Linked DNA regions of Cricetulus griseus. The main gene of each other region encodes a partner of the protein of the gene in region 2 in a complex. Links are inferred from orthologs where the notes say so. Each region holds a gene or a part of one and is shown on either strand. Other genes may lie near its edges.

Region 1 (4,573 bases), on a different chromosome or scaffold from region 2:
TTCCAGACCCTTCTTTTTTTTTTTTTTTTTTTGTTTTGTTTTGTTTTGTTTTGTTTTCACTTTTTGAGACAGGTTCTCTGTAGGTTTTGGAGACTGTCTTAGAACTCTCTTTGAAGACCAGGCTGGCCTCCAGTGCTGAGACTAAAGGCATGAGCCCCCACCACCAGACTGAGACCCTTCTTTTATTTATTTTTATTTTTGGCTTTTTTTGAGACAGGGTTTCACTGTTTAGCTCTGGTTGTCCTGGAGCTTTGATCTGTAGATCAGGCTGACCTCAAACTCACAGAGATCCACCTGCCTCTACCTCCTGAGTTCTTGGATTAAAGACATGCACCACCCCCCGAAATTTTTGTTTGCTTTTAATTTAATTTATGTGTACGGGTGTTTTGCCCGCACATATGTCTATACAGCCTGTGTATGCAGTGCCTGCAGAGGCCAGGAGAAGGCATTAGATCCCCTGGAACTGGAGTTACAAACAGGTGTGAGCTGCCACGTCGGGGCTGGGAATTGAACTAGGGTCTGTGGAAGAACAACTAGTGCTCTTAGCCAGTAAACCATCTCTCCAGCTCTCCTGCCCCTCTTATTTTGTATTTTGCTTTGCTTTGAGACAGGGTTTCTCTGTGTAGCTCTGGCTGTCCTGGAACTCACTCTGTCCACCAGACTGGCCTCAAACTCAGAGATCTCTCTGCCTCTGCCTCTGCCTCCCAAGTGCTGGGATTAAAGGTATGCGCCACCACCAACACCATTGCCTGACTTGACTGCCTGGCCTTGTTCATTTGTTTTTTTAAAACAACAGGATTTCAAATAGCCCAACCTGGCCTCCATCTTGAAGCTCATCTTGAACACATGTTCCTTCTGCCTCCACCGACAGCCTGAGCACTGGGATTGGAAAAGTGCATCACTATGTCTGGTTTACATAGAAAGTATATGCCTACCAAATCTTTTTTTTTTTTTTTCCTCTTTTTGAGTGTCCTGCATCAGGTGCTGCATTTGATCCCTAGCACTACATAAACTGTTCCTGGGTATTATATGTAACACATGCCTGGAATCCTAACACTAAGAGTCAGAGGATCAGAAGTTTAAGGTTATCCTCCACTTTTGTAGGGAGTTTGAGGCCAGTCTGGGATAGAACTCTATATGTCTCAAAAAAGTGGGTGAAGTAGATGAGAAATGCACTTGGAATGTGTAGAACAAACATGAAATAAGAGTCCCAGGGTAAAGGAAGAGGGCCATGAAGAAGTTAGATGAGGAGGGCTCGGGAAGAGAGTACTACACATAGAGAATGGTTGGTGCTAAGCTATTCATGGCGAGATCAGGAACAGCAAGGTCTGGGTGGAGGGGGGCAGCATGAGCAGTCATGGGGCTTAGAAGCCTTAACCTCCTCTTGTTTCTTCTTGTCTAATAGATTCCGGGACCCAAAATCCCAGCGGACACACCAGGCTCAGGTGGCCTTTCAGGTGTGCGTGCGCCCTGGCTCCTACACTCCTGGCCCTCCTTCTGCTGCTGCCCTCAGAGAACTTCCTGACCAGCACTTCAGCCCATCGGAACTTGAGTGGGTCACTAAGGAAAAAGGAGCCACACTCCTCTATGCCCTGCTGGTACGGGTGGAATAAGGGGTGAGATGCCACTACTACAAGCACAGCTGGGTCTCAAGCCTCCACCTCATTCCAGTGACTTACAGCATGGATAGGTGCTTTCCTGGCAGGAGGAGCACATAGACAGGCTTTGATTAGACCAGGTGTGAAGCACATCTCTACATTCAGGGCCCAGCACACTCCCTCTGCTGAGAGGGAGCTTGTAGGGAGCCCAGCTCCAGGCTCTGGGCCCCCCCTTCATGCACTGATTTGTGGAACATGACTCCCTATTACCCTCCCCCATATCACTTAATTTATTTCCGTTTTTGTTCTGGTTACTGTGAATCCCAAAGGAGTCTCTCTGTGCCCACACGAAGCTGCTTTTTCCGTGGCCACGGGGTGCCATGGGGCGGGAGTGGGGAAGGAAGGGCAGGCAAGGAAGCTGCGGGCCCTCTGTACAGTTGTTACTGACTCTGATTTCTAAGGAGCCAATAAATACTGTCTTCAGAGTATGTGCCTCTGCTTCTGTCTCCCGCGGCCTCATGAGGTGAAGAGTTCCGAGGGCTCTTGGCATGAGGTTAGATCTTCCCAGGCCTCTAAACCCACATGGAATTTGGACAACCCGGCACCCGTCTCCAAGCACTTCCGCCTTTTCTTTCATCCAACCCGCTGAGGCGGCTTCCGTCATGACTCCGGAAGGATTTATCCTGGCCGCCGGATGTGACGCGGGAATCAAGGCGCGCCGGAGGCCACGGAGAAAGCTCCGAGAAGGCGGGTAGGGGGGTTGGCGCCCGGGCTGCGAGGGAGGGGCGGGGGCGCGGAACCTAGGACCCCCGCGCGCGCGCTGGCGCTGAGGCTGAGACCCGGGGGAACGCTGGTGCCCGGGACACGTGACCGAAGCGGCGAGCGGGCGGCGGACTAGCTTCCGCCTTGGCGGGTCTCAGTCCATCTAAGCTCCCACTTCCCTGCAGGCCCCGCCTGAGGTCTGGCAGTCAGTGACAACAGCCGGGCACCCACTGCCCAAGCGTCATCAACAGCACCATGCCCGCACTCTTGGAGCGCCCCAAGCTTTCCAACGCTATGGCCAGGGCTCTGCACAGGCACATCATGATGGAGCGGGAGCGCAAACGGCAGGGTGAGCCAGGGCCAGAGCGGGAGGACAAACACGGCCCAGGGTGGCTCTGCTACCCACGAACTTGCCCCCATCCACGGGCCAACCTGTGCGCCTGCTGGCAAGGCTAAGAGGGAGGAAGCGGCGCCTTCAGGGTGTGAGCGAAGAGGCCCAGTCTAAGTTCCAGAGCCCTGGGCTGGGAAGGACCTTGGAGAGCAACTAATGAAGCCTCCTTCTCCTTATGGCTGTGATGGAATAACTGGTTTTTGCTGGTCTTCAGTGTAACACTCAGCTTATTTTCACTGTCCTGCCACTTCCCCGTTCTGATTCTTCAGAGGAGGAAGAGGTGGACAAGATGATGGAACAAAAGATGAAAGAAGAGCAGGAGAGAAGAAAGAAAAAGGAGATGGAAGAGAGGATGTCACTAGAAGAGACCAAGGAACAAGTAAGTAACTCCTCATTACTGCCAGTTCTGGTTTCTTCTTCTCTTCCCTTTCCCCACTGTTATCTGCTCATCCTTCTTCCAGATTCTGAAACTACAGGAGAAACTTTCAGCTCTACAGGAGGAGAAGCACCAGCTTTTCTTGCAGCTCAAAAAAGTTTTGCATGAAGAAGAGAAACGGAGACGAAAGGAACAGAGGTGTGATGATCAAAGTAAAATTGTGTGGTGGAACAGGTGACAAAAGAATCTGTTTAATAGCAAAAGGAGGGCTACTTACTGACTGCCCTGTCTTCCTTTCACTCCAGTGACCTAACCACTCTGACATCAGCTGCCTACCAGCAGAGCCTGACTGTTCACACGGGAACTCACCTCCTCAGCATGCAGGGTGAGGACTAAAGAAACCACCTGACAGAAGGGGCTCTCCTGGAGGTTGTAGCCTCCTATTTCAGCATCATGAAGCCCCTCTCCCTTTCTAGGGAGTCCTGGAGGACACAACCGCCCAGGTACTCTCATGGCAGCTGACAGAGCCAAGCAGATGTTTGGACCCCAAGTGCTTACGGTGAGGATGAGTCTTCTTTGAGGATTTATTTATTTATTTGTTTGTTTATTTATTGCGCCCTAAGAAGTCTTTTATAAGCTCAGGCTGACTTTGAAGTCACTATGTAGCCAAGAATGGCCTTGAAATGTAATCCTGTCTATCTGTCATCATGCCTAGCTTGAGAAAAGGCTTGGACGTGTAGTCCCAGTTACTTGCTCCTATATTGCTGGCACCCCAACCATCATTAAAGTACAAACATACCAAGCATGTAGTGTGTAGGAGCTCAGTTGAGCATAAGGACATATGGAGTGAGTTTTTTCTAGGTGCTGTGTAAGCAGTGAGTTTTCATTTTCCCTCTAAGACCCGGCACTACGTGGGATCGGCAGCTGCTTTTGCAGGAACCCCAGAACATGGACAATTCCAAGGCAGTCCAGGGGGTGCTTATGGAACTGCTCAGCCCCCACCTCACTATGGACCTACACAGCCAGCCTATAGTCCTAGCCAGCAGCTCAGAGGTGAGTGTTGGTTCTCCTCGGAGCAGAGGGAAGAACAGCAAGACCAACAAGAGCTAATGGATGTCTCCTACCTTCCCAGCACCGTCGGCATTTCCTGCCGTGCAGTACCTATCACAGCCGCAGCCACAACCCTATGCCGTGCATGGCCACTTTCAGCCCACTCAGACAGGTGATAATCCCCTGCCTGGGCAGGAGCCCTAGCTTCCTGAGTCCTATCATTACTGCTCATTTCAAACAATTCCCCCATTAGGGTTCCTCCAGCCTGGTGGTGCCCTGTCCTTGCAAAAGCAGATGGAGCATGCCAATCAGCAGACTAGCTTCTCTGATTCAGTGAGTATAGAGTATATAGAGCCTTGGGGACGAGGGGAGCCCCAGTCTATCTAAGGTCAGCTT
Region 2 (4,707 bases):
CAGTCATGTATTCCCTCACAGGACTTACTAAGCAAAGGTACAATATTAAAATTTTGTCATTTTTCTTCACCATTGTATCCCTCATACTTAGCACAGGGCATGGCCTACATAGAGGAAATGCCTAGTAAGTATTTTGTTTGTTTGTTTGTTTGTTTGTTTTTCCAAGATAGAGTTTCTCTGTGTAGCCCTGACTGTCCTGGAACTCACTCTGTAGATCAGGCTGGCCTCAAACTCAGAGATCTGCCTGCTGCTGCCTCCTGAGTGCTGGCTCAAAGGCGTGCATATTTACTGAACAATCAAATGAGTGAATGATAATTTATTGACTAGTAGGCTCCTTCTACTGCTGCCACAAGGCCTCATTGAAGAGCCTGGCCTCGAGGTGCTTCCCTCACCAGTCATCACCCACGTTGAAGGCATTAAGGCTCTTGGTGAAACCCTGCATATTGGTGGGGCTGACTCTCTGCAGGAAGTCGATGTAGTCCTCAGAATGGAAGCGGCACATGTCATGCTGGGAGGCCTGGTAAGGCTTGAAGACCTGGAGAATGGAGACAAAAGTGAAGTTGTTACCTTGAGCACTGCCTAGATGCTAGCTGAATTTCTACACTACCCTGATCTTACCCTTGAAGGCAGGATGCCTATAAGGCAGAAATTCCTCTCAGGGAGGCCAGCCAAACAGGATCAGCCCAAGAAGGCTACCAGAGTGACCAACTAGACAAGACCTCACTTAATTATAATCCCACCAAAACACTGAATGATACTCCCAATTCCATGACAGGGAACAACTGCCATGGTAACAACTGGAAAGCAAAAAGAGAGAGAAGAGTGCCTGAATTCCCAGAAATTTTCTGCCCAGTCTCAGGGAAAAAAAAAAATCCTTTTCTTTATCAGTCTATTTCTCTTACCTCCTTTTTCACTCTATACAAATTCTTTTTTAATTAAAATTGATTTACATTATTTCACTGGGGTGCGGCAGGGGAGGGGGGTAGGTAGGTATGCATGCCACAGTGAAGCCAGGGATAACTTAGATGTCAATTCTCTCCTTTCACCATGTGGGTTTCAGAGTTCAGACTGAGGTCACCAGGCTTGGAGCCAGGTACCTTGACCCACTGAATCATCACTCTAACCCCCATACCTGTAACCTCTTGATTCCTAAGAGTTGTAAAGTTTATCTCTCATTTATATTCTTGACCAAGAATAAAAGTCCCTTTCACTGTTCATTTGACACATGGTCTTGTTACTGGTTCCAGAATTCCAGGAAGGGGTCGGGGGCCGGGAGGCCCAGTTTGAATGCAAAACCTAACAATAAACCCAGGCATTACTATGCCAGCCCCAGGCTGAGACCACTTACACTGAACCCAGCCATGGAGACTGTCCAAAACATATATAACAATCTCCCTACCCCCATCCCTTAGTGAAGAAGAGATGCTATTAGCCAGGCAAGCTACTTTTATCAAGACCCCTGAGGATCATTTCGTCTAATTCCTCTCTTCAGCCCAGTCTCTATCTTCCCAGCCCACTTCTCCTGGCCCACATGCCTGTTCCTAGCTTCCTCAGTCCTGGTTCCCTCTATACTTATCTCCTCTCTTAAACTCAGGTTCTGGTCTCTTCTCTGGGTTTTTCACCATGGGATCAAATCCATGAGATATATGACAATCTAACTGAAATCCAAAGTCCTAAACCAAAGATTTATTATCCTCGGTGGGGGTAGAGGTGGAAGTTCAAACAATGATTTGAAAATTGGGCAAGAAACACTTTTTTTCCTCTCCTAGAAAACGGATAAATGGACACAGACAATTTTAGGGGATTCAGACTTGCACTAATACCACCTCAGTCTACTGTACACCCAAACCACTGCCTGCGCCTAAACACACCAATGACATGTTGAATACCTTCATGGTACACAAGGGCCAGGCTTGCTACATGAGAGATGGGAGAGTTGAGCAGAACCATATAGATACATTCTATATTAAAAAGTAAATTCCTGCCAGGCAGTGGTGGTGTACACCTTTAATCCCAGCACTGGGGAGGCAGAGGCAGGCGATCTGAGTTCAGAGACCAGCCTGGTCTATATAGAGTGAGTTCCAGGAAAGCCAGGGCTACAGAGAAACCCTGTCTCAAAACAACAATAACAACGACAAAAAAAGTAAATTCCCATATTCTCTACACATACACACCACAAAGGAGTGCAGAGTTGTCCTAGCTCCTTTCAGGTAAATGGAGGAGGAGAAGGCGAAGGAATTATGGGTGAAATGTCATTAGAAAATAGACCCTCATCCTTGGTCCTGAACCACTATCCCCTCTACAAAGAAGAGGGGCTAGAGGTGTAGTTCAGTGGCAAAGTACTCACTTAACGTGTGAAACCCTGGATTCTATTCACTAACACTTAAATAAATGAAGTGAAGGGATGAGCCTGTCGCCCTAACCCTAGGCCAGAGGCTGGTCTCCCCTCAAGTTAAAAGGAAGTCCCATCTAAGGTCAAAAATGTATGTCCCATTACGAAAGGGGACACCCCCGACTCAGTACCACCACCACCACCGCCATGCATATAGGAAACGTTCACGGTGCCTTCTATCCTGCTCCCCCTCTAGCGGCAGGTTGCACCTGGTATATCCAGCCCACCTAGCCTAAGGCCGCAGCTTGCTCCCAGGCCCAAACCCCCACAGAAGTGTCAGGACTCACGATCATCTTCTTATAGAGACCATAATGCAAGACTAGGCTATGAGTCAACGCCAGGCGATGGGGCTTCATCGGGTGCCCAGCTCCTGGGGATAGGGAAGGAAAGAGTTGGTCAGTTCCCACCCCTAGAGTTGCAGCCCTTCCCGGGAAACCTCTCCTCCCGCACAACTCTGTGCCCTACCGTAGTGGAAGTTGCCCACATCGGGGTCGTAGAAATACGCCACGGTCTTGGCCATGATGTTGGGGGACCAGGCCCCGAGCCTCAGCCGCCCGACCGCCGCCGGCCGCCAGCCCCACCCCCGCCGTGCGTGCTGCGCAAGCACGCAGCCTACCGCTGCGGAAAAGAGCCCTCGGCCCCGCCTCCCAAGATCACATCCAGACCACGCCCCTAGTGGGAGTCCCGCCCCTTGTGGGAGCTCCGCCCCTTCCCTTGCTGTCCCGGTCCGGATTCTGAGGCTTGAGACTCCGTGCTTGGGCGGGACCCGCGGCGTTATTCATAGGACACAAGGGCCGTTTCTTTCTGGACGAGGGTCATATCCTCGGGAAACCGAGTCATTCTGTCCACCCACTAGCCCCAAACGGGTCTTGGGGCAGCGTTCCCTCTCTAGGAACCTCGGAAGGTCTGGGCATCCTGCCTCTCTCAGGTGTAGAAAGCCAGATTTTCCCAGGCGCTAGGAAGATTGCTGGCTTTCCACTCATCCGGGGAATGTGAGGGCAGGACCTGTGCCAGACATGAGGGCTAGACCAGTGGCCAGAGCCCCGCCTGACCTCCCGACCACCCACGAGGACCCAGACTCACGCCGCACATTCCTCCTGGGGGAGGGGGCGGCGCAGTCACGCGCACATCTCACTTGCGTTCACACACGCGTAAGGCTCACGCTCTCCGCCCCGCACACCTGTGCTCCGCCCCTTGGTCCCGGGCCCGTGACACGATAGGCATTTGGGAACCCAAGACAGTTTCAGAGGCGCTCCCCCATCTCCTCCATTTCCCGGGCAGGAGTGGTCCGGAGCCTGCCGCGGCTCCCAACCAACCGGTCCACATCTTCCGCCATCCTTCCCTCCCCCCGTCTGCCGCGGCACCGGTATCCGCAGCCACCAGCCCGGAGCCGGTGAGGCGGCATAGGGGGGAGGGGGAGGAAGCAAGGGATGAGCTCCGGGAGGGCGTCGGGGGCCCTGAGCCGGACGAGGACGCCCCTGGAACCGGGACCCGAGCCAGAACCGGAGCGGGAGACAGAACCAAACCACCGGTACCGGGTGGGCCAGGTGGCCAGGGTGGGAGGAACGAAAAAGAGGGGACCCAGGAATGCAAGGAGGGGAGGGGGCTGTACGAGGCCTGACTCAGGCCGGTGTAGAGGAGGTATCAACACTGACTCCAGCGTGTTTTCTGAGCTCGCTGTTTGAGAATTTCGTCCCACCTTGTGCTGCAGTGTCCTTGGAAGGGACGGGGGCGCGGGATGAGCTGTAAAAAATAGCGGTCTGGATGTCAGAAAAGTGGGGCTGGGTCGTGGCAGAGGGCTTTCGTAGATGCCATCTGGCCTCCAGCCTGTGGCGGTCTTGGCCGACCAGCACCCTCAGTCTGGACAGCTCCTAGGTTCGGTCGGGGGTGGGGCGGACCTCTTATTGCGGATCCTAAGATACCTTCCTACTCTGCGGGTACCCAGCTGCAGCCCACTAAACCCAGGAGGCGCCCTGGCCCGCGCTCGCCCCCCAGGGCCTCATGTCGGAACCACAGCCTGGCCTGGAGCCGCCCCAACATGGGCTGTACATGCTCTTCCTGCTTGTGCTGGTCTTCTTCCTCATGGGCCTTGTAGGCTTCATGATCTGCCACGTGCTCAAGAAGAAAGGTTACCGCTGCCGCACATCTAGGGGCTCAGAGCCTGATGATGCCCAGCTCCAGCCCCGTGAGTGAGGAGCCTAGAACCCTGATTAAAGCACCTTCCTCCCTTACCCTTCTCCCCAAACTTTTTTCTACCTCCCTGGCTGACAGACCCAGCCCAAATCCTGATGAAACCCAAAGACAGCTTATGGTGG
Region 3 (4,656 bases), on a different chromosome or scaffold from region 2:
TGAAGGTTTTGTATTTTGTGAAAACAGATCATTTAAAAAGGGATACATCTGACCGGGTGGTGGTGGTGGTGCTGCTGCTGCTGCTGCTGGGGCGGCTGCTGCTGCTGATGGTGATGATGATGGCGGCACATGCCTTTAATCCCAGCACTCGGGATGCAGAGGCAGATGATGGTGATGATGATGATGATGATAATGATGGTGCACACGCCTTTAATCCCAGCACTCAGGAGGCAGAGGCAGGAGGATCTCTGTGAGTTCAAGGCCAGCCTGGTCTACAAGAGCTAGTTCCAGGATAGGCTCCAAAGCAATACAGAGAAACCCTATCACGAACCCCCCCCCAAAAAAAGGGGATACATCTGTAACTATTGAAGACTGCCTGCCCAACCACAAAGGACACAAAAAGTCTCATACCTGATGCTCATTTTTAAACACATTGTACAAAGCCTACTATTGTGCCTAAGACATAATGTTTAATAGACACACCAAACTTCATCTCATCTAAAAGTAAAATGCAAATTTCATCCAAGCAGTTACAACATTCCAGTAAATCCTCTCCACCCCTTTTTGAGACTGGATCTCATGTAGCAGGGTCTAGCTAGCCTTCAACTCCTGATGGTTCTGACCATTTTTCTCAAGTGTCGGGATTAGACACATGCACTCACAAAACTCCTGGCTCAACTTTGAGTTTTGACTGACATACTCTGTGGGTACTATACCATGCTGAACAATTTAAATTGGATAGGTAAGTCTCTAACAATTCAGAACCGTAGCCTGGCGGTGGTAGCGCTTGCCTTTAATCCCAGCACTCAGGAGGCAGAGACAGGGGGATCTCTGTGAGTTTGACACCAGCCTGGTCTACAGAGTGAGTTCCAGGACAGGCTCCAAAGCTACAGAGAAACCCTAACTTGAAAAAGAATTCAGAACTGTCTTACTGTTTCTGTTTCCATGCACTTATGGAAGTTATTACAACCTTAATAGCCTTGTTAGTAACTTCCTTCTCCCCTTACTGGAGTACTGCTCCAACCATGGCCTCAGGTTTGCTAGGCAAGCACTCTTCCACTGAGTTACAATGCCAGCTTCTACTCCTTTTTAATGGTGAAGAAGTGAAGCTCAGAGAGGTCAACTAACTTTCCCAACACTACCCTGCTCCAAGGCAAAAAAAAAAAAAAAAAGCCTTCAAACTCAGGCAGTGTGATTGCCTTTTTTTTTTTTACTATATTTCCTCCCCTAGTGGAAGAAGAAAAATCATGAAAACATCTCTCTACAGTTGGAAAGCTAACTTGCCCCTCAATGCCTGTAATACTTTAACTTTTATCCTTTTTAAACACATGGTACAAGGCCTAGTACAATGCCTAAGAAAGAACATTTAACAAACATAATCAACTTCATAAATATGAGATATACAAGCCTCTCTCTCTCTCTCTCTCTCTCTCTCTCTCTCTCTCTCTCTCTCTCTCTCTCTCTCTCTGGGTCTACCTTTCCCTCAGGACAACCTTGAATTTATTCTGTAGTCAGGCTGGCCTCCAACTAATTACGGCAAACCTGCCTCGGCTTTCTGAATGCTAGAATCACAGGAGTGAGCCATCATGCCCAGCTTTTTAAATTCAAGTATTTTTGTGACATGGTCTCATGCATACCAGGCTGGCCTTAAACTTGCTATGTAGATGAGGACAACACTGGTCTGATTTCCCTCCAGAACCTCACAGCTATTGCAACTACAGGTTTGTGGGTGTTTTTAAACAACTCCATTAGAGATCAGATCTCATTCTTTCATCGTTTTTAAAATCGCCTGAGACCACTTTACAAAACTCTTCCTAATGTGGCCTCATCTACAGCTTGACAGAGCACTTTTCGATACATTCATCTAATCTTGCATAGAGGAAGGTTTCCTCCTATACAATATAGATCCTTAATTACAATCCTTCCCAAATGCCCACAAAACTTTTCCACTGACATTTCCTGTTATCTCGAAATTGTCTGTCCCTTCATGCAACAAGGAACGGCAGCTACTACGAAGTGTGTGATCTACAAAATAAGACCTCTACTTTCCACAAGTCCAGTTGAGTGAAGAATAAAAGACACGCTCACAGACAATGACACAACTAAGGAAATACAATAGAGCCGAGGCTCCTAGCAATATCTGCCTGCAAAGACAGGGGAGGATGTAGGCAGAGAGAAAACAGGACACTTTATGAAGGAGTCTAAGGATGAATGAAAATGTAAGTTAGAAAAGGATCAATAAAAAGATCTGGGGTGGACTGAAGAAAAGGATGAAAAAGGTGCGAGACGGGTGGGAAGCGAAAATACAAACAGAAACAATGAACGACAAGCGGGACTCAAAACCGGCAGACTCGTCCAAGCGAGGGGGCGACGATCTCACTCACTTCTGCCGCAGACTCTCCTCCCTCTCCTTGTCCAGCAGGCTTGGCCATGGCTTGTCGCCGCCATAGGGGCGCGAGTAGCCGCCATAATAGGCGGACGAGGATGCAGAAGCAAAAGGGGCACTCCGCTGCGTAGAGGGCCGCTCTCGAGAACGCGATCGCGAGCGGGAGCGGTAAGATTGGTTTCGAGAGCTTTGACTGAAGCTACTCAGCGAATGGCTCAGGCCATTCCGATCACAGAACCGAGAACAAGAGCGCGAGCGAGAGCGGCGACCCCGCGGGGAGCGGGAAGATTTGCTGGGCTTAGGGCTCCTCGACGAACTGCGACGTTTCCCCCCGGAGGCCTCCCGTTCCGGGCTACGCGAGCCCGACACAGGAGCCATGGTGGTGGTAGCCGAAGCCGCCAAGGGGCGGGCCGAGGAAGCGCTCCCGCGCCTCCTCCAAGGGTCCCGGACGCCTAGGGTCCAAGAGCCCGCAGCGTCTATCAACCCAGAAAAAAAAAAAAAGAAAAACCGCGAAAACACTTCCGGGTACGTCGGTAAACCCCTTCCCTTGGCCCCCGCGCTCCTGGTAGCCAACAGGAAGCAATGTGTGTGTGTGTGTGTGTGTGTGTGTATAGAAGCCGGTCAGGAAACTGGGGCAACGGGCCCACACAGTTCCTAATGAGGTTGCTGAAATTTAAACCACACAGAGGCTGGCCTTGGTGGCGCATGCTTTTAATCCCAGCAGTCGAGAGACAGAGGCAGGCGGATCTCTGTGAGTTCGAGACCAGCCTGGTCTGCAGCGCGCGTGCTATGATAGCCTCCAAAGCCACAGAGAAGAAACCATGTCTCAAAAAATAAATCAATAAAAAAAATAAAATAAATAAATAAGATGCACCGAACACTAAATAAGATGCACCGAACACCCAGTCTGAAACTCTAATACCTGAAGGAAGGTTACGATGAATGCAGTACATATTTCATTGACTGTATAAACAACACCGCCAATTCTTAATCTGCTTCGTGTGCAATTATATTTGCCTGTATGGTGTGAGTTTATGAAATCTGTGTATGTATAACACACACACGCACACACGCACGCACTGCTCCTTTTTTTTTCTTTGAAATCCTAAGCAAACTAAGAGGGTTTATTGCCATTAGGATTAAGCTTTGATCTAAGACCCACGTTGTCCAGTTTGCTTAGAAGGCATACATTCTGAAAACTTCAGTCTGTTACATCCCAGAGGAAAATCTTAGTACTTAGCTCCCAGCACTCTTCTCTATCAGTGTCCCACAAAACGAATTTGTTCACCCCTTAAACTAGTCCATCATACACTACCCCAGCAATATATGGTAAGTGATCCATAATTGTATTTATTAAGTACTATTTTTAAGTAAAAGCATCCAAATATTAATTTTGGTTTGATTTTTAAATCTCTTTTGAAATTACATCATTTCCCCTTTCTCCCTGTAAACTTTCCCACATGCCTCCTCCTTGCTCTCTTAAATTTATAGCCTTTTTTCTTTCATTGTTGTTACATATATTCCTAAATATGTAAACATACTTTTAAAAAATTATTTCTTTTGTGTGTCTCAGGGAGTCGGGTGTAGGTGTGGGGGCTTGTGTGCAGGTGCCTACAGGCTATGGGGTTAGAAGACACCGAGACAGACTTGAATTTCTCCTTCCAAACCCAGGATTCTCAGGGATCAACCTCAGATTTGCCAGCAGGCACCTTTTTCCATGTCTTGCTGGTGCTTAAAAAAATCAGTTTGGGACCCTCTGCTCTTGCCCAACTCCTTTCCAAAGCCCCATTCACCCCGATCTCTCTGGGCCTGTGCCCACTGGGAGTAGACACGCCCAAGCAGGAAGGAGCTCCCTGAGTCTGGAAACACCCCACTCTTCCTTCCCGTTCCACCGACCTGACCTCTATGGAGGCCTAACTCCTTCAGAATGAGGAGACTACCAGGAGAGGCAAGACCATCCAGAGCTGCGGACATTGAATCCCTGGCCCACACACACCACTGGGTCACAAGAGGAGATAGAGAGACCCCACCTGCACCCACTGGAAGAAGATATGGGAAGAAGACAGAATAAGAACTCACTCAACAACAGAAAGACCAATATGACACCATCAGAATCTAGGGACTCCACACCAGCAAGATCTGAAAAGCTCGACACAAAAGATGAAGAAGATGGACCTCAAAAATTATCTCGGCAAGATGATAGAGACCTTTAAAGAGGAAACAAGAAAATCCCTTAAAGAAATAGAAGAAAAAGCAAGCAAAAAACGACA

What was found.
Region 1: Hdac3 (region 2) and Gps2 share a complex: the UniProt entries of both Homo sapiens proteins name them as parts of the N-Cor repressor complex. The link is inferred for Cricetulus griseus from reciprocal best matches to the Homo sapiens genes HDAC3 and GPS2.
Region 3: Hdac3 (region 2) and Nkap share a complex: the UniProt entries of both Homo sapiens proteins name them as parts of the notch corepressor complex. The link is inferred for Cricetulus griseus from reciprocal best matches to the Homo sapiens genes HDAC3 and NKAP.

Annotation. Positions count from the first base shown.
Region 1 is NC_048600.1:83,761,903-83,766,475, forward strand, and holds the start of Gps2 (G protein pathway suppressor 2), read left to right. Parts: upstream 1-1,613; 5' UTR 1,614-2,345; exon of another isoform or gene 2,346-2,349; intron 2,350-2,545; 5' UTR 2,546-2,615; coding exon 2,616-2,709; intron 2,710-3,020; coding exon 3,021-3,130; intron 3,131-3,212; coding exon 3,213-3,325; intron 3,326-3,432; coding exon 3,433-3,512; intron 3,513-3,603; coding exon 3,604-3,686; intron 3,687-4,026; coding exon 4,027-4,180; intron 4,181-4,259; coding exon 4,260-4,349; intron 4,350-4,430; coding exon 4,431-4,510; intron 4,511-4,573. UniProt on the Homo sapiens protein: Key regulator of inflammation, lipid metabolism and mitochondrion homeostasis that acts by inhibiting the activity of the ubiquitin-conjugating enzyme UBE2N/Ubc13, thereby inhibiting 'Lys-63'-linked ubiquitination.
Region 2 is NC_048595.1:199,687,963-199,692,669, reverse strand, and holds the start of Hdac3 (histone deacetylase 3), read right to left. Parts: upstream 3,019-4,707; 5' UTR 2,913-3,018; coding exon 2,858-2,912; intron 2,763-2,857; coding exon 2,680-2,762; intron 536-2,679; coding exon 393-535; intron 1-392. Other genes in the region: Rell2 (RELT-like protein 2), read left to right, coding at 4,394-4,577. UniProt on the Homo sapiens protein: Histone deacetylase that catalyzes the deacetylation of lysine residues on the N-terminal part of the core histones (H2A, H2B, H3 and H4), and some other non-histone substrates.
Region 3 is NC_048604.1:29,377,101-29,381,756, forward strand, and holds the start of Nkap (NF-kappa-B-activating protein), read right to left. Parts: upstream 2,887-4,656; 5' UTR 2,765-2,886; coding exon 2,385-2,764; intron 1-2,384. UniProt on the Homo sapiens protein: Acts as a transcriptional repressor. Plays a role as a transcriptional corepressor of the Notch-mediated signaling required for T-cell development. Also involved in the TNF and IL-1 induced NF-kappa-B activation.